4 linked regions of the Drosophila melanogaster genome follow. The gene in region 4 interacts genetically with the main gene of each other region. Each region holds a gene or a part of one and is shown on either strand. Other genes may lie near its edges.

Region 1 (7,425 bases), 110 kb from region 4:
TGACAGATGGACCCAAGCATGTGCTCACAGCGAGCAGCGTCTCCCAGCATCCAGTATCCAGAAACCAAGAAGCAGCCCCAGCATCCCAGCATCCCAGGGATTCCAGGGGAGCCACGAGGCAGCAGATCATTGCTCAGTGACAGTTCGGTTGCAGTGAGGCTCAAACGAGAGACTCTTATTTAAATAATCATTTTTTCTGACAGCCAACTTGACTTCCAGTTCCAGTTCGGCATGCCGTGGAGCAGCCCCTGCCCCCCAAATTGTGCCCCCGCCCCATGCAGCCAGTTTCATTCTGGATTCGAGCTGCATCTCCCAGCCGCTTTAATTGTTTGTTTGACTTGCGGTCGCCCCTAGAACACATTGAGAAAAACCATATTCGAAATCGAATCTAAAGAACTTCTACTTGGGTCTTAAAATTAAAATTATAAAATTTCCCAGCTAGAATAATCTTATAAAATAGCTTTTTGTTGATACAAAATAAACCTAAGGATGGCTACCATGATAGTTAATCAATATGTGGGCGAGTAATACCCTATTTTTGAAACAACAATTGATATTTTCAACCAATTAGTTTTCTTTCTGTGCAATCTACACCTCTCTGCCCCACCCTGCTCCCCATCTAAGCGCCTGGTTCCACTTGCACGCGTCATCTGAGGGGCTTTTGGGCTCGTATTTGGGCCTCGAGCTGTAAGGTTCGGTTTTGGGTGCGGCGCGTGGGGATTTTGGATCGGCGATCTGGGATCTGGAATCTGGGATCTCGGATCGGTTGCGTTCGACTCGGGCCTCTGTGGCGTCGTTTAATTGAAAACGATGCATGTAAATGACACTTTTCAGCATTAATAAGCAAATATTTGTATGATTATTGGTGTAGCCGGGGGATTAACGTTTGAACTGTAAGTGGTCCGAGGCTCGATGCTCCGATATCAGCGATCAGCGTCAGTTGTGCAACTCGATTCATGAACAGGTTAAGTGCATTACCAGAAGAGGCCCACAGGCCAAATGAATTCGGTCAACAGGTTTGGAAGGATGGCTGGAGTATGGCAATGTGGGTAACAAATGCGGAGCTAATCCCTTCACAAATAAATACAATTTGTTTTATTGGAAAAACCTTTCAGCATGGTCACATGCTTTAAATTATATAATTTTCTTTGGTATAGTTTTGTATTAATAGAAATATTTAACCCAAGAAATTAAACCATTCAAAACTCGACCTCAACTTTGTTCTACAACCTTTTCCAACAATTACGTATATTACAAATTTCAGGGTGAGCCATAAACACCTGTGCCCCCCCATTCAGTTAGTTGCTATTTATTTATTTATTCGACTGACCTCAAACTCTTTGAAAAGCAATTAAAGGCTTACGCTCGAATTTTATGCAATTCACGAAGTATCAATAAAAATACTCGTTTTTTCAGTGGCAGCTGCTTCTTTTGGATAATCGACGACGTTTTATTTATCGCATACAATATGGACTTTTCTGATCTTTTTTATCAAAGCGAATACATTTTCTTAGCTGGCTAATTCCGAGATACAAAACTCCACTCGCCAATGTGACAAGTAACAACCTGACTGACTCTGCACAGGCATTGACAAAATTATCTGAAATATGCAAGAAATGTGCCAAAGGAGGAGAGTCCAGGAGAACGGCGACAGTTATGAGAGGCGGAAAGGGGCGTGGAGGTCGGGGAGAATCGAGATTCTGTAGCCGGGGGCTGTAGAGCCGAGGGCAGAGGTGGGCGAAATCTTTGGCATTTGAAGAGACAGGAATATTTTTAGGTGACATGCCCTCGGTTGGACGTCTTTCTTGACATTTTGTCTGACGCATCCACTTGTTTTATGTTTGCTAATATTTCTGCAGTGCTAATTGTTCATACTTATGATCAATCTATTCTTGATGGCCAAGTTCTCTAACTTATAAATGTACTCATAATATTGTTTAATCTGCTCGTTCGACGTCATTTCTTTCACAGTTTTATTCATCTTCTTCTGGTTTTACTGGTTGACTGATTCTTGTATCTTGGCCTGTCAATCAGTTTTGAAAGTCATCGTTTTACGCTTTTTGGTATTTACTTGAGGTTCTTTCTTATGCTTTTCTTAAAAAAATCACCATACGTATGTATAGAAGTGTGTGTATTTCTTTCCATAATAACTGTCCGATTAACTTAATACATTCCGTAAGCTATATGTGATCTATTGAGCGAACTATACGAGTTTAGAGAACTATAAGAGTTAAAATATGGCAATTAGCTAAGAATGCGGTTTCTTAATTGCCAGAGACTTTGCCTAATGAGACGCGTTTAGTTGCCCTTAGAATGCAGACATTGCGAATGTGCGAACAACTTGAATAAAAATTGCACAAATTAAATGTATTTGTATCCATTCACAAGGAAAGAAGGCAATTGTAGCGCTTGATAAAACGACTTGGGTTAATCTATTGGTTCTAAATTTGCAACAAGACCTTTTCACTATACGCCTCTACAACTCGCGTCATTCGAAATGTCCACGAATATAAATTTGCAATAGTTTCAATTAGCATTTAATTAGGTATTTAATATCAAACGACTACTTGATCAGTGTTAAAAATAAATAAAGAGAATTCAATTTTTTAAAGTAACCGAACCCTATATATTCATCTGATTTATTTAGAGAATATATCAGTAGGAGCATTTTTTTGTGTCAGTATTCTATTATATTTACCTTATTTATTATATAATTCTAAAATACTTAAAGAAGGGAATAAAAATTCGATTATTTAAGGAAAGAAAAACGGAATAAAATCATTCGGGACGTAGTAATTTGAGCCTGTTTCAACCATTGAAACCCTATTCCGAGTTTACTTTCTAGCTCAACTTACCTTGAGGCTTTGGAACATTCCTCTTGAGTTGCATCCACTTGTAGGTGGGGATGCTGCTGGAATGATTTGGCGACTTTGATTGCGTGCTGGCAGGATGTGCTCCATTCGAGGCGGAGGTGGAGGAGGAAGTGGAGCTACCCGGGGAGATCACTCCCCCGCGCTGCTGGCGATTCATTCCACCGTTGGGCGACACGGAGTTCTGGTGGTGCTGCTGGTGTGCCGCTGGGGATTGGTTCTGCGGATGTTGCGGTTGCTGGTGCGGCTGCTGCTGTTGCTGCTGGACTTGTGGCTGTTGCTGATGCGGATTGTTGGCCAAGTTGCCCAGGTGTCCGTGGGGCAGGCCGTGATGCATGTGGGCGTGCATTCCTAGCGAGTCCATGGCATCTAGGGCATAGCTGCCTGCCAGATGTTGCTGGTGGTGCCACATCTGCGACTGCGTGGCCTGCTGCATCATTGGATCCTGATCCTCCAGCACCATTCCGGGTGCATAGCTGGCGTGCAGGACGGCGGCGTATTTCTCCTCGATCTGGCCGGCATATCCGTGAACCGGAGCCTGAGCCTGGGCCGTGGGATACATGCAGTCCAGGTTGGTGTACATCATCCCGTTCTCGGAGCTGATGATTGCTGCCTGTTGCTGCTGTTGTTGTGTGTTGCTGGTGGCACTTGCATTGGCGGCGGTAATAGGTGAGCTATTGCTGGGTGGAGCAACTGTGGCCACTGCGGCGGTAGCGTAGTACGAGTGCACCGAGTCACTTTCGTAGTAGGAGTCCGCCGGAGAGTGGCTACTAGGATGGAGCGGCGTGCCCGGATTTCCCGTGGTCGTACTCGTGGTGATGCCATACTCCGCCGCACTGGGACTAAAGAGATGCGAATGCGGATAGAGCTGTTGCTGCTGCGCCTGCTGCTGTTGCTGGTGCTGCTGCACCACCTGGTGGCTGCTGGTGGGCGGTGGTGTCAGCTGCGCCTGCTGCTGCGGATAGTAGTTGCCTGGGGAGCTGCTCTCGTAGCCATTGTAGGTGAGGTGCTGCTGGGGCTGCTGCAAATGCTGATGCTGTTGCTGCTGCTGCAGCTGCAGGTGGGGCTGGTGTTGCTGCGGAGCAAAGTAGCTGCTGGCGTTGGCCGCCGACGCGGTGGTGGTGCTGTAGCCGTCGTAGGCATTGGCATGTGGATGGTGGTGGTGCGGGTGGTTGCCGTACATGCTGCTTACGTCCATCATATTGTCCAGCCGGAACCACACTTTCTCGCCACTCCGATATAACCGGTGTATCACTAACTACCCTTCACTTGCCACACAGTTCTTGAAATAGTTCTTTAGCTGTTTGCTTTCTAAGAATATTACGCGACGGTCGAGGGCTATCGACGTGGGTTTTATCTGTATCGAACCGAAAAACACGACTCCCGTTGGCGATGACGACGACGACGTGCTGCCTGCGCGCTTACCAAGTCGTGACTGATTACTGGCCCGAACCCGGTTTCTTTCAGACCGCACAACCGCTGGTCTTGGCCACGCCCCTCTGCAGACTGCCTGTGGTCCCGCTTCCTCTCGTGTGTGCTACATACGTGTTGCGACTGCCGTCTCGCTCGCTCCCTGGGATTCTTCGGATGACTGCCCTTATCAGTGGTTCGGGGGTTAGTCATACGTATATACAAATACCCGTATTTCAACTACCGGTTTTTGGCAGTTGCCGTTTCCATTTAGATTTTCTCGTTCCCTGTTTGCTCGTTTTTTTTTTGCTAGTCGCCATGGCAGGAGCGGATTGACGGCTACTCAAGATGGGAGTTCTATGAAGGAACTTGAAATTATGCAATGAGCTGGTGTGGAACTGGCTGGGGATGATCAGATCTCTAAAATGATCCTTATTAATGGGAAACACTTATATAGATCGTCGGTCCACCTAAGAACATTAAGCATTTTAAAGAAACTTGTTCTAGATCTTACTTAAAATGTTTTGAAACATCCAATTGACAATTCACTTCCCGTATGCCAATTAGAAAAACTTACTATTTCTTATCATCATAATAGTTTTACTCGAAGTCTTCTTCGCCATATATGGAAGTCGGGAAATATAAAGACCATTTATTTCTAATTTAAACTAATTCAAAACTATGCTCTAATCCAAAAAATTGTTGTTGTTATTATTGTTTTTAATTCCTTATATAGGTATTATTTAAAGTACTCTCTGTTAAAAGTATCTGAATGGTTTCTCAAGTGTAATTAAATTCTCTTTATAAAATGTGTATTTATTAATACTAAATAGTAGACAACTCTTCGCCCCGAAAATCTTTTCGCACATGTTTTGGGCCCAGTTCGTGTCCAAGTTAATCCACCCCTGCCGCCTGCTGATAGTATTGAAAGTTACGCCCCTGACCATGCTCATGTCGACGTCTTGTTTTAACTGGAAACCCAATGTTGTGTGTTTGTTTTGCGGTTTTGGCACGTTTTAGCACCTCGAAATTCCCAAATGAATTGACGGACAGGTAAAGAAGAGGAGCTTGCTATGGGATTGGAAATGCGAACCGGGCACTCGGAATGGGTTTTCGGCTTGGGAGCGGACCGGGGTTGCGACCAGGAGGAGCTGCAAACGGATGCTGACTGTGGCAGCTGTCAATCGTCATTTGCACATATGACAGCTCATCTATGGCAGCACTGTTGAATTTAAATCGTCGTCGAACGACTTCCCCGACCCCGACAGACCCCGAATCCTGACATTATCTCCGGACCTTGACTCTGACTCAGTGGGATGCAATTCGTAGGCGCCCCCTAAGAGTTATCCGGTGTATGGGTCTGTCACTTGGCAGGGATAGAGATACAACCGTCAGATATCTTCATGCACCTTTCACGCACAATGCATCATCTTTGGCTGTCTGGAAAACTTCGAGGTTCGCTCCTTCCACTCTCGGATTGGGAATTTTTCGTTTTTTGTTCAACTTGATTGACATTTTCACAAGTTTTTGTCTCTACACTCGCACGGGGAATTTCGGAGGGGGAGGTCGGCTGGAGTGGCCATTCGTTTCGTCCTTTCGGGCGGTCCTGCCCAACGCTCCAAGGTGATTTGTTATATTTTCGGACAGCAGCAATTAATAGTAACAGGATGTGTGCGAGTATCTTTCAGTAATCACATACATATGTATGTACATATACAACTAACATACCACGGCCCAATCCCGATTCCAAGCCTGAAACTATCTCACATGGCTAAAGCGAAATACATGCAAGGCTTAGGTATCCTTGTTTTAGCATTCAGCTAGGATTGGGATCATTTTTGACAGTTCCTGGGGTGTTATGCAATACTTCCTCCCTCAGCCAATCTTTCTTGTCGTAATGAAGTTGTTTAACAATCGTAATTGAGAACTCAAAGATGTTATTGCCTTTAACATTAAAGTTTAAGTATTTATATTTATGTACATACGGCAGAAGCCGTTAATTTACTTTCTCTATGTATTTACTCTTACACGAACATATTGCTGCAATAAACAAGTTATATATATTCTGCTTTTTCTTTTATCATAAAATTACGTTAAGACTGAAGTAGTATAAAGACATTTTTCGATACTTTTGTGTAAATCCATTGTAATGAGAGCATTATGTTTATGGTAAATTAATGACTTTTTAAAATGTAAAACTCTTTGTAATAGTACAAATTATTAATTAGTTGTTTTCATACACGTTACTCGTAGAGTATAAAGGTTTTATACTAGATACGTTGTAAATGATTGAACAGGCAGAAGGAGGCGTTTCCGAGAGACGAAGACGCAGCTCAAATTTGTTTTTTAAATGTTTTAAAATCTCCCACGCCAACTTTTTTGATATTTTAAATTTGCTTGCTAGTCTTGTAATATGTATCGATATCTTACGATAGAGGTTTCTATTGTTTATTTGAATTCCCATTTGAATTGACAATTCGAAGCAACTATATTTTCTAGTATTTTTTGTAGGCGCGGGAGATCAACACTCCTATGTCTATAACATAAACATACAATATTTAAAAATATTCCAGGATAAACATACATACATAATTAAAAGCTCAAAAATAAAATTAAAACATGTACTCATACATATTGAGTACATTGAGTATTGAGTATTGTAATATATGTAAATATATATATATATATACGCATTACCGTTCGTAAATCACATTGATTTGATTACCCTTAAAATTGTATTATTTCTGATCATGATCTGATAGAGCTTTGATCAATTATGATCCACTCAAATCCCAATATAAATGTATGTATATCTGTAAAGTTCATCATATCACAATCGATTAACCATAAAAGCTATTTCCACACCACTCGTTAGTGCATATAAATGTCCAGTCAAGTGCCCGTCGCACACCTTATAGGTTTCGGGGGATTTGTAAGTCGCGCCATCAACGTCTGTTTAGCGCCATGAAAGCGTCGGAAGTAAGATATATGGGCTAGATGACGTTCCCAACAGCCCCGAGAGGCGACAAGCCTCTACAGCCGATCGGAATAGTGGAAAACTGACCACAAGCTGACGCCAAGTTGATGGGGGCGCCGCAGCTACAGCTCCAAAACTTCTGGAACTTGGAGTGCCGCCGTTCGATAC
Region 2 (7,648 bases), on a different chromosome or scaffold from region 4:
CATCGCCGCCGAGTGTGGACATGGGCACCACTGTGCCAACGGGCCGATTACCCTGCGGCATGCCCGGTACGACGCCACCTCTTTGGGCCATCTGCTGGGCGAGAAGTTGTTGCTGCTGTTGCTGCTGCTGTTGCTGAGGATTGTTACCACCGCCTGGGCCACCATACTGACCCACTCCGTAGGGCAGACTGTTGAGTTGAGCTGCAAACGGACGGAAATCTTACATCAGCCATCGATTCAATTCCATGCTGGAAATACACTAGATCTGGCACTAGAAACTCACTCATTTGCATGTTCGGATTCTGCATGCGTGGTCCTCCGCCACCAGGCCCGTTTCCTGGCCCACCAGCTCCTCCAGAGGCACCCATGAGATGCGGGCCACGAAGCATATGCTGTTGCCCCACCATGCGTCCCATCATTGGGCCGTTCTGCATATGCATGCCTTGGTTTGCGGCAACGGCTCCTCCGCCGCCAGCTCCAACGCCACCAGCTCCTGCTCCAGGTCCTCCGGGTACTGAAACGGAATTGATCATCCCACCGCCGCCGCCGCCAGGCTGCTGCTTAAGATGATTAACCATGCCGCCCATGCCGCCGCCAACGCTGTTGGTCAGCACCATGTTTCCCAGATTGCCCTGCGCAATGGTGTTCATGCCTGCGAAAGATATAACATAATTTGGGTTTTCAGATAATTGTTGCTATATTCATTTGGTTGCATTGGCTAGGATAACTTGGATATCCAATTACAAGGAAGAACGATTAATCACCTGGTATGGCGTTCATGCCATTGTTGCCATTATTCGATATTGACATGGGCATTGAGTTGACCATACCCATCTGAGTGCCCACCACCTGCTGCATGCCGCCCTGGTTGGGTGACTGCAGGTTGGGCGACTTGCTGCCCAGCTGCTGCATGCCGGGCACCACCATGGCGCCCTTCTGGCCCTGCTGCTGCTGCTGGAGTAGGTGCTGCAGTTGCTGGTGTTGCATTTGACTGATTCTGTTGCCCGCTCCTGAGCCGTTGCCACTGCCGTCGTCGCCACCCGTTCCGGATCCGTTGCCGCCGCCGGCTCCGTTCATCTGGGAAGGCACAACGCCGACGCCAACAACACCGCCGACACCCACATTCACTCCAACACCGACTCCGCCTGTGCCAGAGCCGGGTCCTTGGGCTGCCGGCTTGTTGGGTCCGCCACCGGGATTTGGGCCGGATGTGGGATTTGTGGTTACACCGGAGGCGCCGCCACCTCCATTGCCACCGCCTGCTCCGCCGGTCAGCTGATCCGACCAGCCACTATTCGAGGACACCAGCTCATCGGGCAGGTTCTCCTCCAGAAAGTAAGAGATATCCGCTGGAGGAAGATACAACCAAATTGTTTTTAGCAAGGAATTTTCTTAAAAAAAAAAATAGTTGGATAGAATTAATTGCTTTTTCAATTCCGTAAGGAATTTATTAAAAATTATGAAATAACTGGAGAATACAAGTTTGATAAACTAAAACTAAAAGTTATTAACAAAAAAAAAAAAAAAATGAGAAATCGAATATTCTGGTTTCGGTACTCACTTGGATCCATTTTAACCCGCTTTTGGGGCGGTTCGTCTAAGTGATCGGCCATCATATAGAGTTAGTTTGATTCTTTCGATTCGGAAAAAAACAGAAACGCAGACGAAAAACGTTCGAAAAATCTGAGTAGTATTGTTTCTATTAGTTTATAAAGTTTTTCTGATTTTTCGCTTTTTTTTTTCACTAACTCTCCAATGATCCGTCTATGTTGGAGTTCGAGTGTGTTCTGATATTTTCGTTATTGGAACTTGTCAAATCTTCTTTCAGAAATTATTTGTCGCCTAGCACTTTGACAATTGTTGCACAGGTTGTTTGTTTGGTTAAGTGTTTAGTGTTTTAAGTTGTAGATTTCTTGATTAGTTTGGACACTTTGCAACACACGCACGCACAATACACAACACACAAAGAGGCACTCAAAAGGCGTGGCTGGCGAGGATTGGGATTTGGTTTTGGTATTGGTGTTTTGGGATCTTGTAATCGATGATGTTGGCGATGCTTGCACTTAATGATGATATTAACGCTGCTGCTCCGCTTTTTATTGCTAAGGATGTGGCTTCTGTTGTTGTTCTTGTTGCAGTTGTTGTTGTTGATTTAGATAATTCCTTTGCTAATTGCCGCTGCAACGACAGCAACAACGTAGCCGGCGCTATCGTCACCGCAACGTCAACGGATGGAGCTGACCACCACCACGTCGTCGGACCTGTGCCCGCTGATCCTTCTGCTCCCACACCCACTTCCACTCCTTCGCCTTTTCCCTCTCCTTCTGCCGCTTCCGCTGATCCTGGAGGATCGCGCAGCCACCACCGCCTTCTCGTTGCGGCGCCGTTGAGATCGTTGTCGCCGCCACTGGCGCTTTGGCCAGCAGACAACTTTTCCACCGCCTGGTGCTCCTCCTGCTCCTGCTCCTCTTGATGCTTGTTCTTATCCTGCGTCCGCTTGACCAGTACCTCTTCTTCTTCTTCGACTTCGGCCCTGCGCTTTTTTAGCTGCAATTTGTTTTTGCTGCTGCTGCTGATGCTGCTGTCGTTGTTGTTGTGGTTACTGCTGCTGCTGCTGCTGCCGTCGTTGTTCTCGTTGTTGCAATTGTTGTTTGTCGAACAGCAGCAGACACACGCGTGCATTTTGTGTTGTTGGGCCCCAAAAACACCAAAAGTTGACCTTGGCTGGGCGGCTCTTGTTATTGTTTGTTTGTTTGTTTGTCTGTTGTTGCCTGCCTGCCTCCACTGAGCGAAAAAGAACGGTTCTTGGTTTGGCTCTCTCCTCTTTCTCTTCCTTTTCTTTCCGCCTTTTTCTCCGCTATCTTACATATTTTATGTGATTTGTTTTTGGCGGCTTTTTGTTACACAGGAATATATATATATATATATAGATATTTTGACCATATATTATATATGCTTGTGTTTAATTTTGATTGCACTTGATTCGGTTATCGTTTACAATTAATAAGGAAAAAAAAGCAATTCACATTGTTGGCTGTTGTTGGGTTTGTTGTGTTTCGGTTTGTTTTTGTTGCTGGCGCGCTGCTGTTGTTTTTGTCGATGCTGATGTTGTTGCTGCTGCTGCTGCTGCCGACGTTTGCCGCTCTAGCATTACACATTAACTGCAAACGCACAAGAAGAATAATACACAGCCTATTAGATTATGTTGAATGGACGAACACAAATCGAAAGCAATATTTATTTATTTTCTTCTTTCTTTTTTGTAATTTAGCCGCGCGCGAGTGGACAGCGAAACCGAGGGGAAAATGGAAACAAAACGAAACTAAAATGCGACGAGACGTGCCGAAGACGGGGCGAAAAGGGAAGAACAACGAGAACAGTACCGAGAATTCTCTCGGTCTCGTTGCACTCATCTGTGTGCCGCTTGACGACCACTCACTCTCTCTCTCTCTCTTGTCTGTTCTTGCCTCGCAATTTTATTCGCCAATACTACCAGCGCTGTACTCGTTATTTTACTCGCAGACGTGTGTGTTGGCCTCTCGCTCTTTTGGCGCACACCACGAAAATGAAAATAATAATTTCATTTTGCCGCCAGTCCCCTAAAAAATATGGAAAACAAGTGCCGTCGTTGGCAAAAATATACTTTGAAACATGCTTAACATTTTTATGACAAATACATTTTTGGAAAAAAAATTTCACACCTTTACAGGTAATAAAAGTCAGAGCACTGCTTAAAAAAATTAATTGAAGTATCAGCCAGTTGCGGCTGTAGTCTATAGTCTAGTTTATAAATTAAATGGCCGAAAAAGTGGCCGTATTTTGGTTTTGCTTCCGCATTCGAGCGGCCATCATATGAAATTCAATTTGTTGGGGCGGCGAGTGGCGAGTGGGGTGCGAGCGGGATGACACTAGAGTGCAGTGGGGCTGGCTGACAAAAGCTTTCACACACTCACGCACGCACACATTTGGGGTTTGGGGCGCGCGTACAGAATTCTCACAGCGACGCCAACGCCGTTTTCACCACACAGTTACACACACGCACACTTCGAAAACAGCGAGTTCGTGCAAGAGCGAGCACGAGTCCGAGAGAGAAAGCATGCGATGGTATTAGTGCCAAGCGGCATTAGTGTGCAATATACACACGACGGTAAACGGCAACGAGTGCGAGGAGCATTGGAAAAAGAAAGAAAAACAGACGACAGAAATATATTCCATTTTTTTTCTGTGTTCGTTCGTCGTTTTCGTTTCGTTTTCTTCTTCACGTCGTTTCAAAGTTTCTATTGCAGAAATTTTTTGTGTTGTCTCCGCCAGAGCGTTTTTCATTTTTCCCGGCCCACACAAAAATCGCAAAAATATTTGGCGAAAATACGAAATTCAAGAAAATGCCGTAGAAAATTTGAAAAAAATTTCAGCCCGATTTTGGCCGGTATTTTTATTTTTCCACCGTCACCGATTGCCACGCACTAAATTTCTAACTATACTTTGCAATTTTGCCGAATTTCGGTTTTATACCATATATTTTTCACATTTTCCGGCGATTTTATAAAAATCCCACAAACTTTTTCGCAACACTAAAACAAAAAAATTTCAGTCCGCTTGTGTTAATCGTTCTCCGAGCCAAAAATGTTTTTGCTTCAGTGTGACCGCGGCTAGCCGTTCAAATACACCACCGAGCTCGGAAATACACTAAAATTGACTGTTTAACACAACACGCGAGTGGGCTCTCGTCGCTCTCGCGTGCTGTTTGGCCGCTGTTGTCGTACTGTTACGACCCGAAATCCATATAAATGCCTTTGCTAGCAGTCTGTTGGCCCCGTAACAGCTGTTAACCGCTGTCGGAACACTGTTTTGCTCTAGTCCCTCGCTCTCTGCGTCGGCGAGACCGCTCACGCCATGCGCTCCCAAAGAGCCGATACGCACACACGCGCACACATATGGCGCGCCAGATAACGAAGCAGCGAGTCCAGAGATGACCACATGATGACGGTGACACATTCGCCGATACTTTTATGCGGTCACTTGAAAATGTGCACAAAGAAGTTTTGTAAGAAACATCATTGGTTGGAGACCAACATCATTATGAAATGAATATTCTTTGCAGCGTTTTTGAGATCAAATAGGTATTCCAAAAAGATGTTTAATATGAATTAATAAATCAACATCTTGAATGAGTGCAGTTGTTTAGAATTTTTTGTTTAAAAAAGTATTTGTAGACATTAATTTTGAAAACGTTTGTCCATCGTAAAAATCTAGTTTAAAGTTCTTCAAAGGAAAAACGATATTTACAGAGGATCACGTAAGTAATCGAGTCATTGGATTTGCGCATCTCTGGTGGGTTCAGTGTTAGCGTGTTTTCCGTTCGCTCTTGCCGTGAGAGACAAAGAGAACGTGTGAGAGAGAGGCAAGCCGAAAAATCAGCCGCCGAAGGATACACTATCGTCGTCCTTGTCCGACGAACCGGTGGTCATGCAAACAACGCACAGAACAAATTAATTTTCAAATTGTTCAATAAATGTCCCACTTGCTTCTGTTGTTCCCCCCTTTCCGCTAGCGGAATTTTTTATATTCTTTTGGGGGCGCTCTTTCGTTGACTTTTCGAGCACTTTTTCGATTTTCGCGCGCTGTCGAACGGCAGCGTATTTATTTACAATTTTTTTTGTTAGCGGCCGCCGTTGTTTGTTGCAGATACACAGCGCACACATATAAGCTTGCACACTGATGCACACACACCGACACGTTGTCACCGAAATGAACGGGACGGCCATATGACTGGCTGGCGCTCGGTATGTGGGTGCAAGCGAGATACCGCGATCAAGACTCGAACGAGACGGGTCAGCGAGTGATACCGATTCTCTCTCTTTTGCGATTGGGAATAATGCCCGACTTTTTACACTACATGCGTTGGATCTGGTTATTTAATTATGCCATTTTTCTCAGTATATCGGCAATTGGTTGCATTAATTTTGCCGCAAAGTAAGGAACACAAACCGATAGTTAAGATCCAACGTCCCTGCTGCGCCTCGCGTGCACAATTTGCGCCAATTTCCCCCCTTTTCCAGTTTTTTTCAACCCAGCACCGCTCGTCTCTTCCTCTTCTTAACGTTAGCATTCGTACGAGGAACAGTGCTGTCATTGTGGCCGCTGTGTAGCTAAAAAGCGTAATTATTCATTATCTAGCTATCTTTTCGGATATTATTGTCATTTGCCTTTAATCTTGTGTATTTATATGGATGAAACGTGCTATAATAACAATGCAGAATGAAGAACTGAAGAGTTTCAAAACCTAAAAATAATTGGAATATAAAGTTTGGTTTTACAATTTGATAAAACTCTATTGTAAGTGGAGCGTAACATAGGGTAGAAAACAGTGCAAATCAAAGTACCTAAATGGAATACAAATTTTAGTTGTACAATTGAGTAAAATGAGCAAAGCGCCTATTTTGGATAATATTTGCTGTTTACAAGGGGAACATATTCATAATTTTCAGGTTTAGGTTACGCATATGTAGGCGTAAAGAAATAGCTATATTTGTAGAAGTGCATATGCACTTTATAAAAAATTATCCTACATTAACGTATTTTATTTGCTTTAAAACCTATCTGAGATATTCCAATAAGGTAAGTGCAGTAATACAATGTAAATAATTGCAAATAATGTTGTAACTAAATACGTAAACAATAATGTAGAAGTCCGGCTGAAAGCCCCAGCAGCTATAGCCGATATCTATATGATTTAAACTCTTGTCTGCAACGTTCTAATAAATAAATAAAATGCAAAATATAACCTATTGAGACAATACATTTATTTTATTTTTTTATATCATCAATCATCTACTGATTTCTTTCGGTGTATCGCCTAATCCATCTGTGAAATAGAAATGGCGCCACCTAGGTTAAGAAAAGATAAACAGTTGCCTTTAGTTGCATGACTTCCCGCTGGATGGTGTTCAAAAAGCTATTACATAAGGGTGGGTGTCATGGCTATTTGCTCTTTGGGTTATTGTATTCGCTGTTTAAAACTGCGCACACAAATAATATTTTAGATTTAATGTAAGACAATTTGTATCAATAAAAAAAAAACAAAGTGAGCTTCGGTATTTCGATTTAAATTTGTTTAACAAAGTAGGCATTGAACATAATTTCAATCACAAGACAACCGACCCACAAGCAAAACCCTCATTTCTACTTTGACTCCCAAAGAAAACACACAACGTAAAAATTATCGAATAACAAATACGTTTTGGAAAATTTAGAATAAAACATGAAAGTACGAAAGTCAAACCAGGAAAAGCCAAAAAAAAACAAAATAAGAAAAACAATACATAGATCATTTAAAGCTAAAAATAGGCTAGCTAATAAAGTGCCTCGAGCACGCACTTTAATGCTTATGGTGGAGAATGAGATAATGTATAATAAAAATATTAATGAACAATTACCTGCACGGGTTATTGACGATTCAGATCCGCCGAAAAGCAATACACCAGAATCCGAAACGTAATGTAAGTTGTGCATAGATTTAAAACTAAACTTGACATTCATAAACAAATTTATTTATTTTTTTTTTTTTTTGCTCGTTTCCATTATTTCTGTGTTTTTTAGTAAGCAACTGAGCTCCGTTTATTAGATATTAATTAAATATTTTTATTTT
Region 3 (9,019 bases), on a different chromosome or scaffold from region 4:
CTCAATTTGCGTTTGCAGCTCGGCATCTTCCATGTCCTCGATTTCCGCTTGCGTCAATGGCTTGGGCTTCTCATCTGCGGCATTGCCGACGACCAGTGGGGTTTCCTTTTCAACGAACAACTCCCTAACATCCTTCCACCATTGCACGAGACCCTTGATATCCTTGCGGCCCAATACCTTCAGATCCTTGCAGCACTCGAGAATCTCTGGCGTGGTCTTCTTGTGATTGGCAATGCGCTGATCATCGATGCGAATCGAACCGATGCCCTGCAGCGCAGCCAGTGCATTTTCAGCCTTCAGGAACTCTGTGGCAGCCAGATCGTTGCGCAGCGCAATATCCTGGGCCGTATAGCCCTCGGCCTTGATGCGCTTTTGCTTTTCGGGATGCAGCAGGCTGCTCTTCTTTTTGGCATCGAGATCCAGCTCCTCGAACACATACTTCGAGTCCAGGAGACGGGGATCAATGTGATCGGGCGCCAGGTAGCCCTGACAGACGACGAATATCTCGGCGGATTCCTTACGCGACGCACTCGGCTTGGTGGCGTGCACCTTCTTGAACAGCTGCTTGAGCACCCAGAGCAGGGCATTGTAATCCTTGGAGCGGAAAACCTTCGTCACAAACCAGCCGCCGTTGCGCAGAAACTGTGTGCTCAACTTGAGCGCGTTGAGGGTGAGACAGATCTGCTGATAGGCATCGTACAGCCAGTTCCTACCCACATTGGGAGCACCGTCGTGGAGCACAACATCGGCCTTCCACGATTGCAGCTCCTTGGTCAGCGATTGGCGGCACTTCTCGGTGGTGATGTCCTCGACGAGACCAATGCAGCCGGCAATGGGACGGATGGGAAAGAGATCCACGCCGATCACAATGCTGGACACCGGCATATTCTGCTTGGCCACCTGCATCCAGCCACCGGGAGCTGCGCACAAATCCAAACATACTTGCGATTGTTGGAGGAAACCGAATTTGCGATTCAGCTGGATCAATTTGAAGGCGGCACGCGATCGCAGGCCCGTCTCCTTGGCCAACTGGTAGAACTTATCCTTGCGCGTCTTTCCAACTTTCGTCTTCTTGCCCATTGCTGCTGGCTTTTCGTACAATTACGATAAAAATCAAAACGAATTCAAATCAAATGTCGAATTCGTGCACGTGTTGCCAACAGTGTGGCCGTATTGACAATTCAAAGTATTCCGGGCAGTGCCAGCATGCGCGTCAAGGTAGCGGCGATTGAGTGCTAGATAAGTGGAACGTGTTCTTAAATTGTGGAATGCATTGGGGCAGCGGGTGAATTTTTTTAAAATTTCTACTTTATTATTTATAAATTTAAAATTGGTCGATCAAAGTGATTTATATAAATTACTACACACTTTTGGGAATAACTGTAAGATGTGGGGTGAAGTACATTAAGCCGTAATGAACCATAATAAAAATAAAATACGCCTAAAATTAAAATTTTTTGTCTGTTTTACAGCTGCCAAAAATCTAAAAAATTAAAATTCTTCTGTTTTTATTGACCAACCCCACATAAAAGAATGATTTCTATCTGTGAGCCAGATAGTTTTAATTAAAGAAGAGCAAGTGTATCTACAGATGCTCCATCTCTTTCTATTACGTGTATAGATTATCTGCAAAGGATAACGCCCTTTTCTTTAATACTCCCAAAAAACCATTAATTAATACTTCGTTTTGATTTATTAAGTTATTTGTGTAAAGTTGTGTATTTATATATTTTTCTATTGTTATCCAAAATGTTTAATGCAGTACCTTACTTACTGAAATACATTGAATGGTTTCATTTGACCGTAATGTGAGCGAAAGTCTGTCAAAGACATATGTTATTTATCATTTAAAATTATAATCGTTTTGTATACTTTCAAATAATCTGTTTTCATATCCGTTTTAATTGGGGGCAAAGAGTAGTGTACACTTCTTACTAAGCGAAAGACGAATTTGTTCTTGATTTTATAATGCAATTAAGTTGGGAAGTTCGTTTTTATAGCAAGAAATCCATTAAGATTTAATGTTTAATACTTTTTAGGATGTAAGAAACAAACAATTGTTTTGAGACTTTTAAAATACACGTTAATAAATCTATTAAATGTTATAAGCTGTTAAATAATACAATTCGTCCTTCGATAGAAATGTGACATTTTGTTTATCCAAGACTTTTCTTTTCCGTTTTTACATTCAAAATATTTTTGTAATTAGTTGACGTGTGTGCGGATAACAACAACATGTATTATTTATTTATTTGATATACATCGTATACATGGTTTAGTTTCGTATTTTCGTATTGTTCAAGTTTTTAAAAATTTCGTACAGTTTTAAATTCAGTAAACACTATTTTGCTGTCGTATACGTACTGTAGCCAAAAAAGAATCGTCATAGTATGATTTACATGCAATATTTGTATATACCCGCAAATGTAGGTAAATGTATTAAAATATATTTATACACAGCTGCGGTCAAAATAATAGCTCTGAAACTTGTGCCTCCTCCACTCGTTGTGAAAATATTCGTATACTACCAGTTTAATCGAGTTTCTTTGCATATGTTTTCGATGGTTAATATATAAGCTAAATGGGGCTATGCAGAAAAAGTCACTGCATTGGTTATTAACCCTTTTTAAAGAACGTTGATCAAATTATAATCGCTTAAGCGAATTATTACGTATTTATGTATTTTACAGTTGACATGCCACAAACAACATGCTTTCCATTTCAATTGATTGTGAATTAAAAAAAAAAAGCGAGCAAACTTTTCGTTTTATGTTCGGGCAAAAAATATTCTTAATTAGGCCATTATTCAATTGTCGACTTCTTAATACATCCTGCATGCATATATTGTTAAAAAGCAGGAGACTGTGTCAATTAAAAAACCATATCAGCTTATTTACTTTCTTTTTTGATTTAAGCAGGCAAAGTTTTTTCTGCCAACCAAAATGTAGCAAGCACAAACTAACTATTACGTATTTATATTCTACTCACGTATTTATGTATATCTATCGGAACTATATCTAAATTGATGGGAATTTTAAACTTATCTGACTCGAAACCAAAGGACAGAAAGCTGAATTTAAAAATCCCTTAAGAATTGTTGTTCTTGGCGAAGAAGCAAATATAAGCCGCATAATTATGAAAAAACTGCATGTTAGATTTTTCAGCGCAGTTATTTTGACCGCAACTGTATGAGGGATTCTCCGGACTGGGAGTGGTTCACAGCCCTGATCCTCAGGGGCTTAGATCCTGATGGAGATTTGGGTCGTAGCCGCCCATGCTGTTGTCGTACGGTTGCTGCTGGTCGTATCCGCCGGAGCCCATTGGATAGCCCATGGAATCCTGTGGCGGAGCGGGTGACATCATGGGTGTGGTTGTCCCGCTGGGTGGACCGGCCATGGAATACGGTGAAGCACCAGCCGCCTTCTTGGCCGCATACAAATTGGCCTCCTCCTGTGCCTTACCAATGTTCTTCTTATAGCGAATACGCTTGTTGCCAAACCAATTCGATACTTGCGAGACCTGCATGAGTGTGTTTTGTTTTATTTACTATGCTGCAATCGGATTTGCATTGTTGATTAATGTGCCCTACACTACTTACCGTGATGCCACACTTTCGTGCCAACTCCTCTTTGGCCTCTTCGGATGGATATGGGTTGCTCAAGTGACTGTAGAAGTACTCGTTGAGAATCTCGGATGCCTGCTTGCTGAAATTGCGGCGTTTGCGGCGTGCGTCCAGGAAACGCGAACGAAGTATCATTACAGCCTCGCAGGTCGACTGCTTCAGCTGCATTTGTATGGAACTAAACTTTTTGTGGATGATCTGCACCATTCGCTCGATTTCCTTTGGTGTAATGGGTCTGAAATACGATTATATTACCCAAATGATGGCCATCATTTTGCATTTATCTATATACACCAACCTCGTGCGACTCTGTTCGCGTAGAAGATTCATGACATGCGTGGTGAACTCGTTGCATGCCTGCTCGTACTTCTCCAATTCCTGGTGATATATTTGACGGATCTGTGCCAGCTTGGCACGGTAGTCGGAATGCTCAATGGCATTGTCAGCACCATCGATGGACAGGGAACCGCCCTGGCTGGCCGCAGCCGCAGAGGCAGCCGCTGCTCCGCCACCGCCCTTCTCGGGTCCGGCCACGCCCTCGGCAATCAGCATGTTGTCCAAGCGCATCAGTTGCGGATCTGGGGGCTCCTCCTCCTGGGTGTTGCGAATCGAGAGGACTGTAATAGTTTTAACGAAGAAGACGAATGATAAAAATAATTTCATACTGAACGTTTTAAGACTATTACGTTAAGAATTGTGTTTGATTTAGTAAATCAATTGTATCACAAGCAAATCACAAAATCCATAATACCATTTCAACTTATTTGATGGTCTTGAATGAGAGATAAATATAGGGTTTTAAGCTTACCGGTCTTCTCCTTGATTTCGCAAAGTACAGAGAAAAGTGCCGGCTTCATTCGGTGACAGTTTAGTGTATGTTTTCTGGCCTGGGCCTCGTCAAGTGATTGCTCCGAGATACTCATTATCTGTTGCAATATCTCGCCGATGTCCTTCTGCTTGCGCACCTCGTTCTCGCTGCCGGCATTCTGGCCATCATCCTGGCCAGACAAGCCGTATCCTTGCGGAGCCATCATGCCGCCGGTGTGGGCCAACATGCGATTGGGGTCCTCCATGGTGCCGCAACACAAAGCAAGCTACAAATCCAAGTTTCTGTAATAATATTAAACATCAAATATTAAAATCATGCAAGAAAAAAGGAAATAACCCAATATTTTTTCTACCAATTCGATTTTTTAGTGTTTTATTATTTAATAAATATTTCTTTTTTATATAAAAACATAAGTTTGAAACCCTTAAAAATGTAGTAAAAACTTGAGTTAATGTATACTTAACAAACTGAAAACAAATACACCAATTAAATCTTTTGCTACAAAATTCATCATATCTATAGAAGAGATACCAACAAAGCCATTAAACCCACAAACCCCACCACAAAATAATCCCCCAGACATTTGAGCAAAAGTGAAAAGACATTTTGGTATCCTATTGGAAATGCAATAATCTCCACCTGTCGCAATCTCATGAAGCGGCATATCTTTTTGGGGGTGAAAAAGTATCTCAGATGCGTAGCACGAAGCTGGGCAGTTACCCGAACTATTTATGAACTTATTTCTATTTATTTATTGCTGTGTACCACAGGTAACGTTACATTTTACACATGTACAGATAAATGACGCCGAGTGCATCACATACATACACTTGTACGTATGTTTAGTGCCAGCAGAATGGTAAAAAAAAATCAACCTGCCAAGTTTATATTTACATACACACAAGGTTATGGTTAAGCATTAATTTGAATGCAGTTTGAAAACATTTTGTTGGTTTTACATGTACATTCTTGAGATTTTATTACGTCAGAAAAGATTTAAACTGTTTATAACAAGGTGTATGTACATATCCACACATCGATATATGTGCATGTAAGTATTGAGAAGCGTCCACTTGAAATTCCATACTCACGGTTTTTTATTTATCGTGATTGCCTCGTATACTTATTTGCCGTACAAGTCGTATTTTGTGTTATTTTCACTAAAAATTAGTGACACATTACTTGCAGTTGTAAATAACCGCAAGTATATAATATTATTATCTTTTTTGGACAACAATGAAACGAAAGTACGTTCTGTATACGCAGAAAAATAAATCGATATGAAAAAGTTTTCCAGTACTGTAAGAATATCGATAAGTATTCCATAAAATGCAATTTATATTTGCTAGTGAAAACGTGGACAATCGATATCTTACCCGTAGTTACATTCTAGTGCTTACTCACTGCGAGTTGGGTATCGATACTATTTAAAATGTGGCTCTTGAAATAATATTTTAAACATTTTTTCAATAAAATAAATAAGATATCCTCTACAAAAAATGTGGTATATTGGTATTGGAATATAGAAGAAATACAGATGATCCACTCTTATAACATATATTTTAAAAGGCTGATTGGAACTACGTTTAATTATATAACACATATATTTGTTTCTATTTTAGTCAACTTCATTTTTAAAAATGGTCTTTCGTTTTTAAGCGTATTATTACATATCTTCATTTTAATAAATACCATATAAATTATATAAAAGTGAAAGTGTGAAAAGGCTAAAATTCATTCACATCATATTCGGCCAATCGATAGTGATAGGCTGCAGCCCACTAAAGTCGTTATGGTCATATTGTGCTGTGACGTTTAGTCGTATGTTCGTGGACTTCGGAGAAAATCTTTTCTTAAACGGTTAATTCAGTAAAATTATTAATTTACTTTCATTGTGATCAGAAACGCTTTATAGAAAACTTGTGGAAAAGGTATTGAAAAGTGATTGTGACCAAAACGAACACAACCTCAAAAGTTTAAATGGCGTGGCTTTCATCCATATGTAAATGCATACGTGCATGAAAATGTACATTTATATATATCTATACTAAATAATTCAGTTTTCCACAATTTTTGTAACGTTGGGTCTAGTGTATATCTGCATAAAGCTACTTTACTTCGTGCTTACACAAAAATCACGCTTCAACAGTGTTTTTTATGGCCATTATACAAAAGTACTGAATACATAAGTAATAGGAAAAGATATATATGTAAAATATATATATACTTGAATGTTAAATTAACCTTTTTCCTTCGAAATTATAAGTAAATTTGAGCTAAACTAAAGTAATGTAAGAAATACTTAGTACGGAGTGGTATACATATGTTCGTTCATGCGCATTCCTAATTTTATTTTCTTTCCCTTTGCAGAATAGTTGAGAGACCAAAAATTTCAATTTTTGCGATACATAAGCGCGTTAAAAGCGTTACTAATATTTTTCAATATTAGCACGGAATCAGAGCTATCAAAAAAAAAAAAAGTTATCGATTTCCCGTGGCAGTGCGATTTGTTTGATTTTGATTTATCCATATATATTTTCCAAGTCAATTTGCGATTGACTTCACAAAGAATACCCGAGAGTACGATATCTTTGTCTAATTTGCGAACTGGCATTGCGCACCCCAAAGGAGGGGAAACAAAATCTTATATGACTTTTGAAAGATACGGTGGTAAGTAATAGTTAATCATCAACAACCCATTGAATCGATTTGTATCTAAGACACATATTTATCCCGACCACTGTATAATGTCTTACTACTAACCAAGATCCGGATCCATCCAAGGTTACTTTAACATTAAAAATAAGCTTAAAAATAAGCAGCCAACACATTTCCTTCTCCCACAACCGAAAAAAAAGCAAGGATACAATGGTTTCTGAAAAAGGAATTCCAGAAACTTCTATTGCGATACAAGTAAAAGGCAAAAAGAAGTTATCCAGCGAATTCAACTGCATTCTCTTATTTTATTTGTGTGGCTTATTATGCTTTATCTTCTGAATTATGGCATATGTTTATATAAGATATAAACCTATTAAGATTTAGACTTCGTATAAATAAATGCATAGTTTCAGATCAGACTTCACTTCATTTCGTGATATTTCTAAAGCCATCTGTTCTATAGAAAACCGATAATCGGGCAATAAATAATGTCTGCGATTCGTTTTATAATTTAGTAACACACCCATTCACTTGAAAAGTGCTTTGACAAGCTTTATTCGTTGAATTTCGTTATATTCCAATAAATAATATTATTATTATTAATATTACCCAAGAATCTCGTATAAAACATAATAAAAGGGCAGACCTTGAGTAACATAAAAGAATTACTCATAGTTAGCTAATAATTGGCTGTTGGGAACAAGAATCACAATCGTACTGAAATGTTTGTCACATTCGTCAATTTAGTTGGGAAAACACACGAATATATTCAAGGGGGGGTCCTAACGAAATTCTCAGTGTCATTTTCCGGTTGCAAAAGTTAATATCTAAGATACAACAAAACAATAAAATAGTTTATACTCGCTCGACCTCTTAACCCATTTGCTGAATGTTTTTCTTTTAAAATTGACCCTGCTTTAAGACCCAGCAGTTCCATAAGTTTTTTTTTGGCTCTCAGCAACACGAAATAGTGCAAATCAGTGTTATGTTTTTAAATGATTCCAATTACTTTTGCTTTGACGTTTCAAGCAACATCAAATATACAATAAGGTCCCGTACAAATTCCAATTCGAATGCAGTTTTATTGGCTTCCAACGTGTGCGTTAAATGCAATTACATTTCGTTTTATATTTGTATTTTTCAGAAACACCAGCAAAAAAAACCACACTTCTCATTGAGAAAAAACGGAGTAAAGGGTTCGAGCTGTGCATGAATTCAAAAGGGCGAACCAAAAATCACCGGTAAGCACAAATCACTGATGACCAGACCATTAAGTATTGCTGATTCAAGTCGTACGACGTTTTGTTGCAATGCACACACTCGGGGTTTCTACGATAAAAAAATCTGGTATTCAAATTAAATTCGCTACTGTTTAATACGAGGGGCCTTTTTTACCTTGGCTCACATATGTGGCTCCAAATGCATAATACTGTAATACCCGATAAGAATTGATTATATTTGCAAGCAAAGGGAAAGTGGTGCTAAATTGCATTAAATTATACGCTGTAGAAACAGCACTTCGGTGGGTTTTTTTTTAAAGAGAACTTAGCATAATTAAGTAATAAGCATTGCATATTCGACTCGATTAACCAAATCTATTTCATATTTGCCTTCGCAGGACTTCGAGTAACAGACATCGGAAGTTACAGCCATTCAGGTACACATGAGCCTGCTCCTTCTCCATTTTTTAAAGACTTAAACTGGTAAATTTACAATATAAATAAATATATATATGTATATATATATAAATATACAAATATATATATAGATATATATGTATATATATATGTATATATAATTATTCATATGAATTCGGAAAAAAATAGAATAGCTGAATACCTACCACGGCGAAAATAAACAAAATCTTCAGCAAAATAAAAGCAAAGCCATAACCTTGCAAAAAAAAAAGA
Region 4 (7,553 bases):
GGGAACCCGGGGTCACGGGTCTGCGTTTTGGGGCACAACGAGACGGAGAAGGAGACGGATGCCAAGACGCTGGATAAGATGATGCACTGGCGATAATCAAGCCCCGTCTTGTTCTCGTGGTCGTGCGCTCATGATAAATGTCACAACATTAACATCAAATGACACGGACCATCCGTCACTCAGTCGGAGTTATACCCTACCGATGGAGGGGCGGGGGCTTGGAATCGGAATCCGAGCATGAGCCCGAAGATAAGTTGGTATGGTGTACCTTGCGACTGTGTCAAATATGCCCCCGAGCGATCGTTTCCCTGTCTCCCTGCGCGCCGCACAACTTCGATATTTCGTTTTTGGGTTTGATTTTTGATGCTGACACTAAGAAAAACTTTCCACAATAAAGAAAATCAAATGCGGGCTTTGTTGTTTTATTTTAAATGTCCCAATATTAGAAATAGCATCTTAGAAACCGGTACGAACACAATAAATGTGTAATGGTATATATTAATAATATAGTTAAGCCATTGCTTTTATATGACCCTCGGTTCCTACTGTAAAGCCAAATTTCATCATGTTAACATGTTTAATTGGATTATTAAAAATTAGAAATTATTTAAAAACCCTTTAGTTTGAAGCCAACTTTGAATTATGTACTATATTTTTTTCAGTGAAACGACAAATTTCCACAGTCAAGTAAATCGGGAGTGGGTACTGGGAACCCGATGAACCGATGAGGCATTTGACAATGAGCGAGTCGGAGTGGCGTTAAGCGAAACGTTATAATTACCCATTTGGGTCAAGGTTATGGTCGAACTGGAGTATCCCTGTGTACTGTGCTGTGCTAATTAAAAAGCAATCTATCAGTAGCTTCAGACCTCCATCCGATCCTCTGGGAAACGCATTCGTCACCTACTTGCCGCCCCGTGGCATCCCTATTTTGGTTTTATTAAAACAATAAGCGACGACAATCTACAGTTGGCCGTCAGATGTTGTTGGTAACACACTCGAAACATGGCTGAATGAATTCCCCGTTTGGGGGGTGACAATTAATTAGTAATTATTTCTGCCAGGTCAACTCAACTGAGCCCATTCAGTCGGTCTCTGGATCTGGTGAATGAAACCAGGCAAGAAACCTGTTCTCCATGTCCAAGTTGCATTCAGTTTTTGTGCCAAGAATGAGTCGAAAAAGCTTTCATTGTAGGCCTTAGAAAATTACTGTGTATAATTCAGAGAGCCTGGAAATTATTTTCTGGGGGCTAAGCATATGAATGGATACATACAATTTTTCAGAAGAACATTGAAATGAGAATGAGTGTTCGTTAAAATATCTTCGAGGTTTAATTTAACGATTGTTTCTTCCTAGACAAAAATGTTTCAATTGCCTAAAAAAAAAAACTACATATATATGCAGCTCTATACTACATTCCCAGGATGACTTTTTATGATGTATCAATTGGCACCGTACCATTCAGCAGTCCAAGTTGATTTTATGTCAGTTCAAGTGCTGAAAGAACCTCTGAAGAGGCCTAATAACCAGGAGCCTCTTAAAGTGCTGATTGCAGCGAGTGGGACTCACTTAACGTTATGTGCATTATATTATATTATATAGGAGTAGTATGTACAGGAACTTGTCGTTTGGTGAACACGGTTCGCCCCTCGACGCAAGGCGTGGCACTCTTGATTTTGATTAATGAGCTTGGAGTCGCAGTTTTCTTTTTTAAGTTACTCGGTTGGCTGGTGTCTTTGGCTTTTAGATTGTTTATTTTCATTTTGGGTTTCGCCCAGGAACGAACATTACAGGGGCCTGTCAGTGAATCAAGTGGGTGTTGGCAGCTAAGTAATTTAATTAGCATACCCCGAAAAATGGGACACGACATGGGCGCGAAGGGGAGAGCAGGAGATAAAGAGAAACTTTCAACTTACCAACTCCCGCCACATGGATCTTCTTCATCCAGGGGTAGATGATCCGTTCGCCATCGGTCGTCTCCGCCATCAGATCCTCATCGCTGTCTGAGTCCCCGAGGTCGTCGTCGTTGTCGTTGGAGCCCAGCTCGTCTGGAGATCGATCCAGCATGAGCCGATCCTCCTCTGACATATCGTCCTAAACAAGTCAATCAAGGCCTCGATTACGCATTCTCTCTTGGCACATCTGCTGCAAGTACTTACGTTTTCGGATCCCATATCATCACACCGCAATCGCATCCCTAGCTCTTGCAGTTGTTGTCCGGCAGGTACAGCTTCTTCTATGCGTTTTTCTAGTTTTAGGCCTGCATGGAATGGAAGTCACTTTAGTTTGGTACAGTGTAATTAGAGTAGCTAAAATCGAATTGAAGGGCTTATATATGTACAAAATATTAGATCTTTTTTAATATTACTATGCGGCATAACAATCTTGTGGGCTTATTTTAAGTGTTTTTCTCAATCTGCTCCCTAGACATTTTAAAAGGTTTGGATATACGAATGTAAAATGACTTTGCTATGGAATTGATATATAAATAAAAAAAATAATTATATAAATATAAATATAAATATATATTTAATATAAGGATCGATTGATAATCTTCAGATTATTGAAATAGTACTAAGTATATCCTCCTATCAAATCTCAACGGATTCCAAGAGACAACAGAAATTCTATTAGTATGGACTCACCTAATTCCTGCAGTCCCAGCGCCGTGTTCGTCGGTGGTTCCGTGGAGCTGCACTGAAGGGGCAGATCCATCATCTGGGAGTGCGGCGAGTGTCCTTGGGAGTGGGTGCTGCCCACACTTCCGTTCGCCGTCCCATAACCCCCACCGTACCCGCCGTAATATCCATTTGCCGATCCACCCACTGCGCCACCTCCGAGCACTGCGCCACTTCCTCCGCCACCACCGCCATTGCTCGTATTTGGAACGTTTGCCGCCGGTCCGTATCCGTTCGTGGGATCGGAGTGCACCGCTCCTGCGGATATGAATTCGGGGGCGTGGTGGACGTAATAGCCGAGGCTCTGGTGCGGATGGGCGTGTGGATGCGAGTGCGGATGTGAGGGCGGAGTGGCATTGGCATAATTGGAACTGTAACCGCCGGCGGATGCCTGGTGGTGTCCAGATATTGCACTGTTGCTATGGTGGTGCGGTAGTGAGTGGGTGTGCGAATGGGAGTGGCTGTGCGGATTGTGGTGATGCGCCATATAGTCACTGACCATGTCCGCCGGGTGCATGGAATGCGGATGACCAGTCATCCCACCTGCTCCACCACCTCCGACAGACCCAACACCTGCACCACCGCCGACGGCACCACTCATATGACCCGTAGATGCGGTCATCGAATAGTGTCCATTGTAGTGATGATAGTCATCGGCCAACGGCGGAAACTTTGGGTCCAAGCCATTGCCCATGGACATGGGACTCTGGACATGATGTGGTGCATGCGGATAACCCATGAGAAAAGAGCTCATGACGGAAGGTCTGTTGGATCGGGGTTCACCGGATGCGTTTTCCTGGTTATTACTTTGTTATTCGATTTTTTCTTGGGCACTATCACTTGGATTGCACATACTCCGAACCTTTTGCTTTTAGTACATTAACTATTGATTAAAGGCGCTGCTTTTGCAAGTAGTAATTACTTTTAAGATTGTGTTGGTTAAAATAAATTTCGTATTCTTTTTAATATTTTTAACTAAACAAAGGGGTTAGAAGGCTCCCGTTGTCTTCATAATTTTCACTTTTATTGTTTTGATTATACTTTGTTTGCACTTTTTTGTCACTTTTAAAAGCCGTGGGGCCTTGGAATTCTGAGAAACTTGATTATGGTGTTATTTTCCGGTTATAAAAAACGTTTTTACAACGAATTTCAATCCCACACAGGGAGAAAAGTCGGACGTTTCGGTCTTACGAGTGCGCTGCGAACACGAACCGTCCCATTCGAGCCGATTTTTTGTTATGCTCGCTGGCGATAACTCTCCGTGCGAGCGAACCTGTTTCGCCACTCTTCGCTCTTGTTTGCTTGTGCTCTCGCTCGCTCTCTCTCACCGCCATTGCCATCAAAACGGGTTTTCACTGCCGAAGCAATCGAAGGACGGCCCACACACGCGCACAAATAAAGCCATTCATATGTAGCAGCCATGTCTGTTCACCTTTTCTCACCCTTCGCCTCGTACGCCATTTTCCACCACTGACCATAGTTCTCTCGCAAGCGCGACTGAGAGGGAGCATTGTGGTTAAAGCGGGATGGCCAGATCTTTGGTCACACCCATTTTGAGTTGCGTGAACAGTCAAGGCATACAATATTGAACTAGTTCAAAGAAGTATTCTTAAAAAAAAAAAATAAAAAGCCATTAATTAAAACTTTAAAATATAATTTTACTTTTACTGTACAGTGTATATATTTTTTTTATATTTTAGTAACGTCTTATTTATTTTTTTACGAAATAAGCTTATTTTACTTTCCAAGGATTAATAAATTGAAATGACAGTAAATCGAATAGAAAATTAAAAACGCAATTGTCTACATAGAGAAATAGGATTTCTGAATTGATTCAATGTTATATTTATATCTCAAACAGCACTGTTTAGCTCATTAGCACACCTACTTACCTACCCTCGACTGTTCTTCCCTCAGACTTACTATTTTGGTTGTACTTTTGCTGTGAGTGTGCTGGTACCTTCAAAGTCATGGCGCACGCTCGAAAATTGAACTCGACGAAAAAGTTGTCTGGACCCAAGAAACTCCGCCCATTTTCAGAAGGCTTTCATCGATCCCGGACAAGACGTAAGTGTGGATATGGAGCACACCATTTATTTTCCACTTTCATAAATGGATTCTGTAGGAACGATGCAGAGAACGCGTGGGTAACAACAGTATTGATCGTAAAGAGGGGACGGTACTATTGGATGCCGATTTCTTCGTCTGAATTCAGCTACCGAGTTGGAGAGTCCGAGCTGACTTGCAACAATTTCAATTGAACAACCAACGAATATCACTTTGTTCTCCTCTGTGATTATTGTTGTGGTCTGGCTGGGGCTAAGGCTGTTATTATTGTTGTCATTACTACCGTGATTTTTCCTCCGATGTTGTTGTTATGGCGATGACGGGCACATATTCAAATGGAGCAAGCGAAACGTGGAAAATCAATAGAATGATTGTTGTATAATGCACATCGAGAAGGTTGGATATTTAATGCTTTAATATTGTTTTTAGTAAATATTTAGACTGATTCATAACAATCCATAATGTGGGTAAAAGAAAATATGGCTTGTACTTTTAAATTCGTACTTCGAGCAATGCGGAATATTAACAATTTATTTATAGGTAATATCATACAAACTTTTGATTATTTCGCTTAATGAATTCAACAGATTTTAAATTTTTGTGATATATATTTTAATAAGTTTGAAATCTGCTGACCCTATAGAGCCAGCTGCCCTAACTCACTTCAAATAAAAGTTAAATTGAGCATAAATTCGTGTCACACTTCTGGAGTGTGTTTCTGAAAGTGACTCTGGCTAATTGCCGAATAATTGGACCTCCGGTAAACCCACCAAAAATATCTTAACCCCCTTACAATCAGGTCCACGTGCTGTGCCACCTCCTTCACCAGTTCCATATGTGAGCGGTATAGGGGCATGGCCACTAATTAATCGACTTCCAACTGATTCGATTTTGATGGTCACCATCAAAACGTCATTAGGCTAGTTAAGTTTATAAAACTTAAATTTAGTCTGTGGTCCGTCGGCCAGACTCATAGGAGTAAATGTTGGTTTAGGTCTTCATTCCACGTTAAAGTGTTCGAATTAATTGACCAGCTAGTGTTAATTAATGGAAGTTCCATGTTTACTAATTTTACTGTGTGATTCATTACGCATATTTGTTTACAAATAACTTTGGTCCAAATCCAAAAATATAATTGCTTTTAAATTACATTATTATATTTCTCGAAAATTTAAAATCAGAAAACTGTTATTTAATTTCTTATGTATTTAAAATTTTTAAAGATAGTACCAAATTTAGATTCCATGCTTAGCATATTACACTCCTGAATGGCTGCTGCTTGAGGACCTTTAAAACTCAGTTGCATTAGCGGCTGCTACATCGAATTTTCTCAGTTCTGACGTAGCTCCTTAGGTGGATGGAAGCACGATGTGGGAGGTTTGGGAAAGTCCCAGCTTGCGCAGGGATGAGGGCTCCCTGAGCCAGCAGGGAGGATGGGTTGTGGTACAACGAGGATGGCTCGGTTGGGGGACAGTGGGTGTTTGTTGCTATTGCTTGCTCTTTGTCCGGGGCATTTGAGTCCAAATCCCAATTCAGATCCAGCAATCAGTTGCGACTGTCAGGCGGCGGCAGAAGGAAGTTCACTTGCTGCACGAGGCAACACACTGAAACGTGATTAATGATGTCGCATCCACATCCACTGAGGCACATTACGACCACCAATGCGAATACATATAGAGAGCCACCATGCTTTGAGTATGGACTTTCTTTGTTTTCAGCTCGCTTCTTTAAGCCAGCCATCAAAACTTTGTGATATAAAATTAAAAAGCACTCTACGGCGATCGAATAATGTTATGCAAAATGGGTGGTATCCACAACAACTGATAAGTTCACTAATATTTGCAATTATGTAAATGCTAATCATTGGAATGGCACAAGAGACCTTAAAACAATTTGTATATTTAGAAAAATTAGGAATAACTTTCAATTCTTAAAACTTTTTGAAGTTATTTTGTAATTTTTGTATGTTAAAGCTTTAACCCAATGAAGGAACATGGAAATTTTAGCAACACATAAAAAAAACATGCTGCCCAAGTTTGTTTTTAAACTTTGGCAACGCCAAGACGCCCAGCGTGTTTGATACCACTGCAGAGTGTTGTAATTTGATTATTTTATATAGGAAATAGTCTGAAGCAGTCTGTAATGTGAAACATCACTAAAACCAAAGTCAGTCCTTATATTGTATAATATATATCCTAATTATCTTAAGATCTTAATTATGTCTTATTTATGTTGGTATAAATTCAATGTAATTTGTTTGATTTTTAGGGCCCCCTTTTTTAAAGCTAAACTAAAGCTAGTTGAGGTCGATTTTGTAAAGTCAGTTTTCTTGTCCGTTACATTTTGTGATATTATAAAATATATGACAAAAAATAAATGATAGTGACTCTAACGCAGCTATAGTTGTTTTAAAATAATTGTAGATTCGATTTTTCGAATCGATTTTTGACGAAACAATATTTAATTTTAAAAGGATATTTTCTTTAAATCGCAAATTGAGCTTATATCAAGCTTTATACCAAAAAATTGGTATTATCTCCATTCCTTTACTTTATCTAAGTAACCAAAACCTTTTTGTCGAGACACTCGATTAAAGTTTTCTTTTGTTTTAACCAAACTGAATCTACTAAGTACACTTAATTTAAAAAAAAAAAACTTGTAATTTTAAAATTATTTTAAGCTTACTTTTTCGAAAAGGCGATAGCTTTTTCCCTACTTTTTGCTGCCCATGACCCACCCATTGACTCCACATAGACAGCCAGATTCTGGCATTCCAATCAATCTGGTATGGAAATTGTGTTAACGAC

What was found.
Region 1: of Dfd (region 4) and lab, changing one suppresses a phenotype caused by changing the other (phenotypic suppression), as found in Drosophila melanogaster (one study listed by BioGRID).
Region 2: of Dfd (region 4) and nej, changing one enhances a phenotype caused by changing the other (phenotypic enhancement), as found in Drosophila melanogaster (one study listed by BioGRID).
Region 3: of Dfd (region 4) and exd, changing one enhances a phenotype caused by changing the other (phenotypic enhancement), as found in Drosophila melanogaster (2 studies listed by BioGRID).

Annotation. Positions count from the first base shown.
Region 1 is NT_033777.3:6,674,276-6,681,700, forward strand, and holds the start of lab (labial), read right to left. Parts: upstream 4,316-7,425; 5' UTR 4,072-4,315; coding exon 2,856-4,071; intron 1-2,855. UniProt on the Drosophila melanogaster protein: Sequence-specific transcription factor which is part of a developmental regulatory system that provides cells with specific positional identities on the anterior-posterior axis. Required for proper head development.
Region 2 is NC_004354.4:9,680,991-9,688,638, forward strand, and holds the start of nej (nejire), read right to left. Parts: upstream 4,678-7,648; 5' UTR 4,560-4,677; exon of another isoform or gene 4,513-4,559; intron 3,162-4,512; 5' UTR 1,617-3,161; coding exon 1,562-1,616; intron 1,350-1,561; coding exon 765-1,349; intron 653-764; coding exon 284-652; intron 220-283; coding exon 1-219.
Region 3 is NC_004354.4:15,989,185-15,998,203, reverse strand, and holds exd (extradenticle), read right to left. Parts: upstream 5,505-9,019; 5' UTR 5,280-5,504; intron 5,269-5,279; exon of another isoform or gene 5,091-5,268; intron 4,733-5,090; 5' UTR 4,696-4,732; coding exon 4,431-4,695; intron 4,240-4,430; coding exon 3,921-4,239; intron 3,858-3,920; coding exon 3,599-3,857; intron 3,520-3,598; coding exon 3,232-3,519; 3' UTR 1,695-3,231; downstream 1-1,694. Other genes in the region: CG8939 (uncharacterized protein), read right to left, coding at 1-1,080; CG46312 (uncharacterized protein), read left to right, coding at 7,100-7,121, 8,254-8,350, 8,728-8,776. UniProt on the Drosophila melanogaster protein: Transcription factor which acts with the selector homeodomain proteins altering the regulation of downstream target genes such as wingless (wg), teashirt (tsh) and decapentaplegic (dpp), thus affecting segmental identity.
Region 4 is NT_033777.3:6,788,205-6,795,757, reverse strand, and holds the start of Dfd (deformed), read right to left. Parts: upstream 3,923-7,553; 5' UTR 3,434-3,922; coding exon 2,647-3,433; intron 2,262-2,646; coding exon 2,161-2,261; intron 2,096-2,160; coding exon 1,918-2,095; intron 1-1,917. UniProt on the Drosophila melanogaster protein: Sequence-specific transcription factor which is part of a developmental regulatory system that provides cells with specific positional identities on the anterior-posterior axis. Homeotic protein controlling Drosophila head development.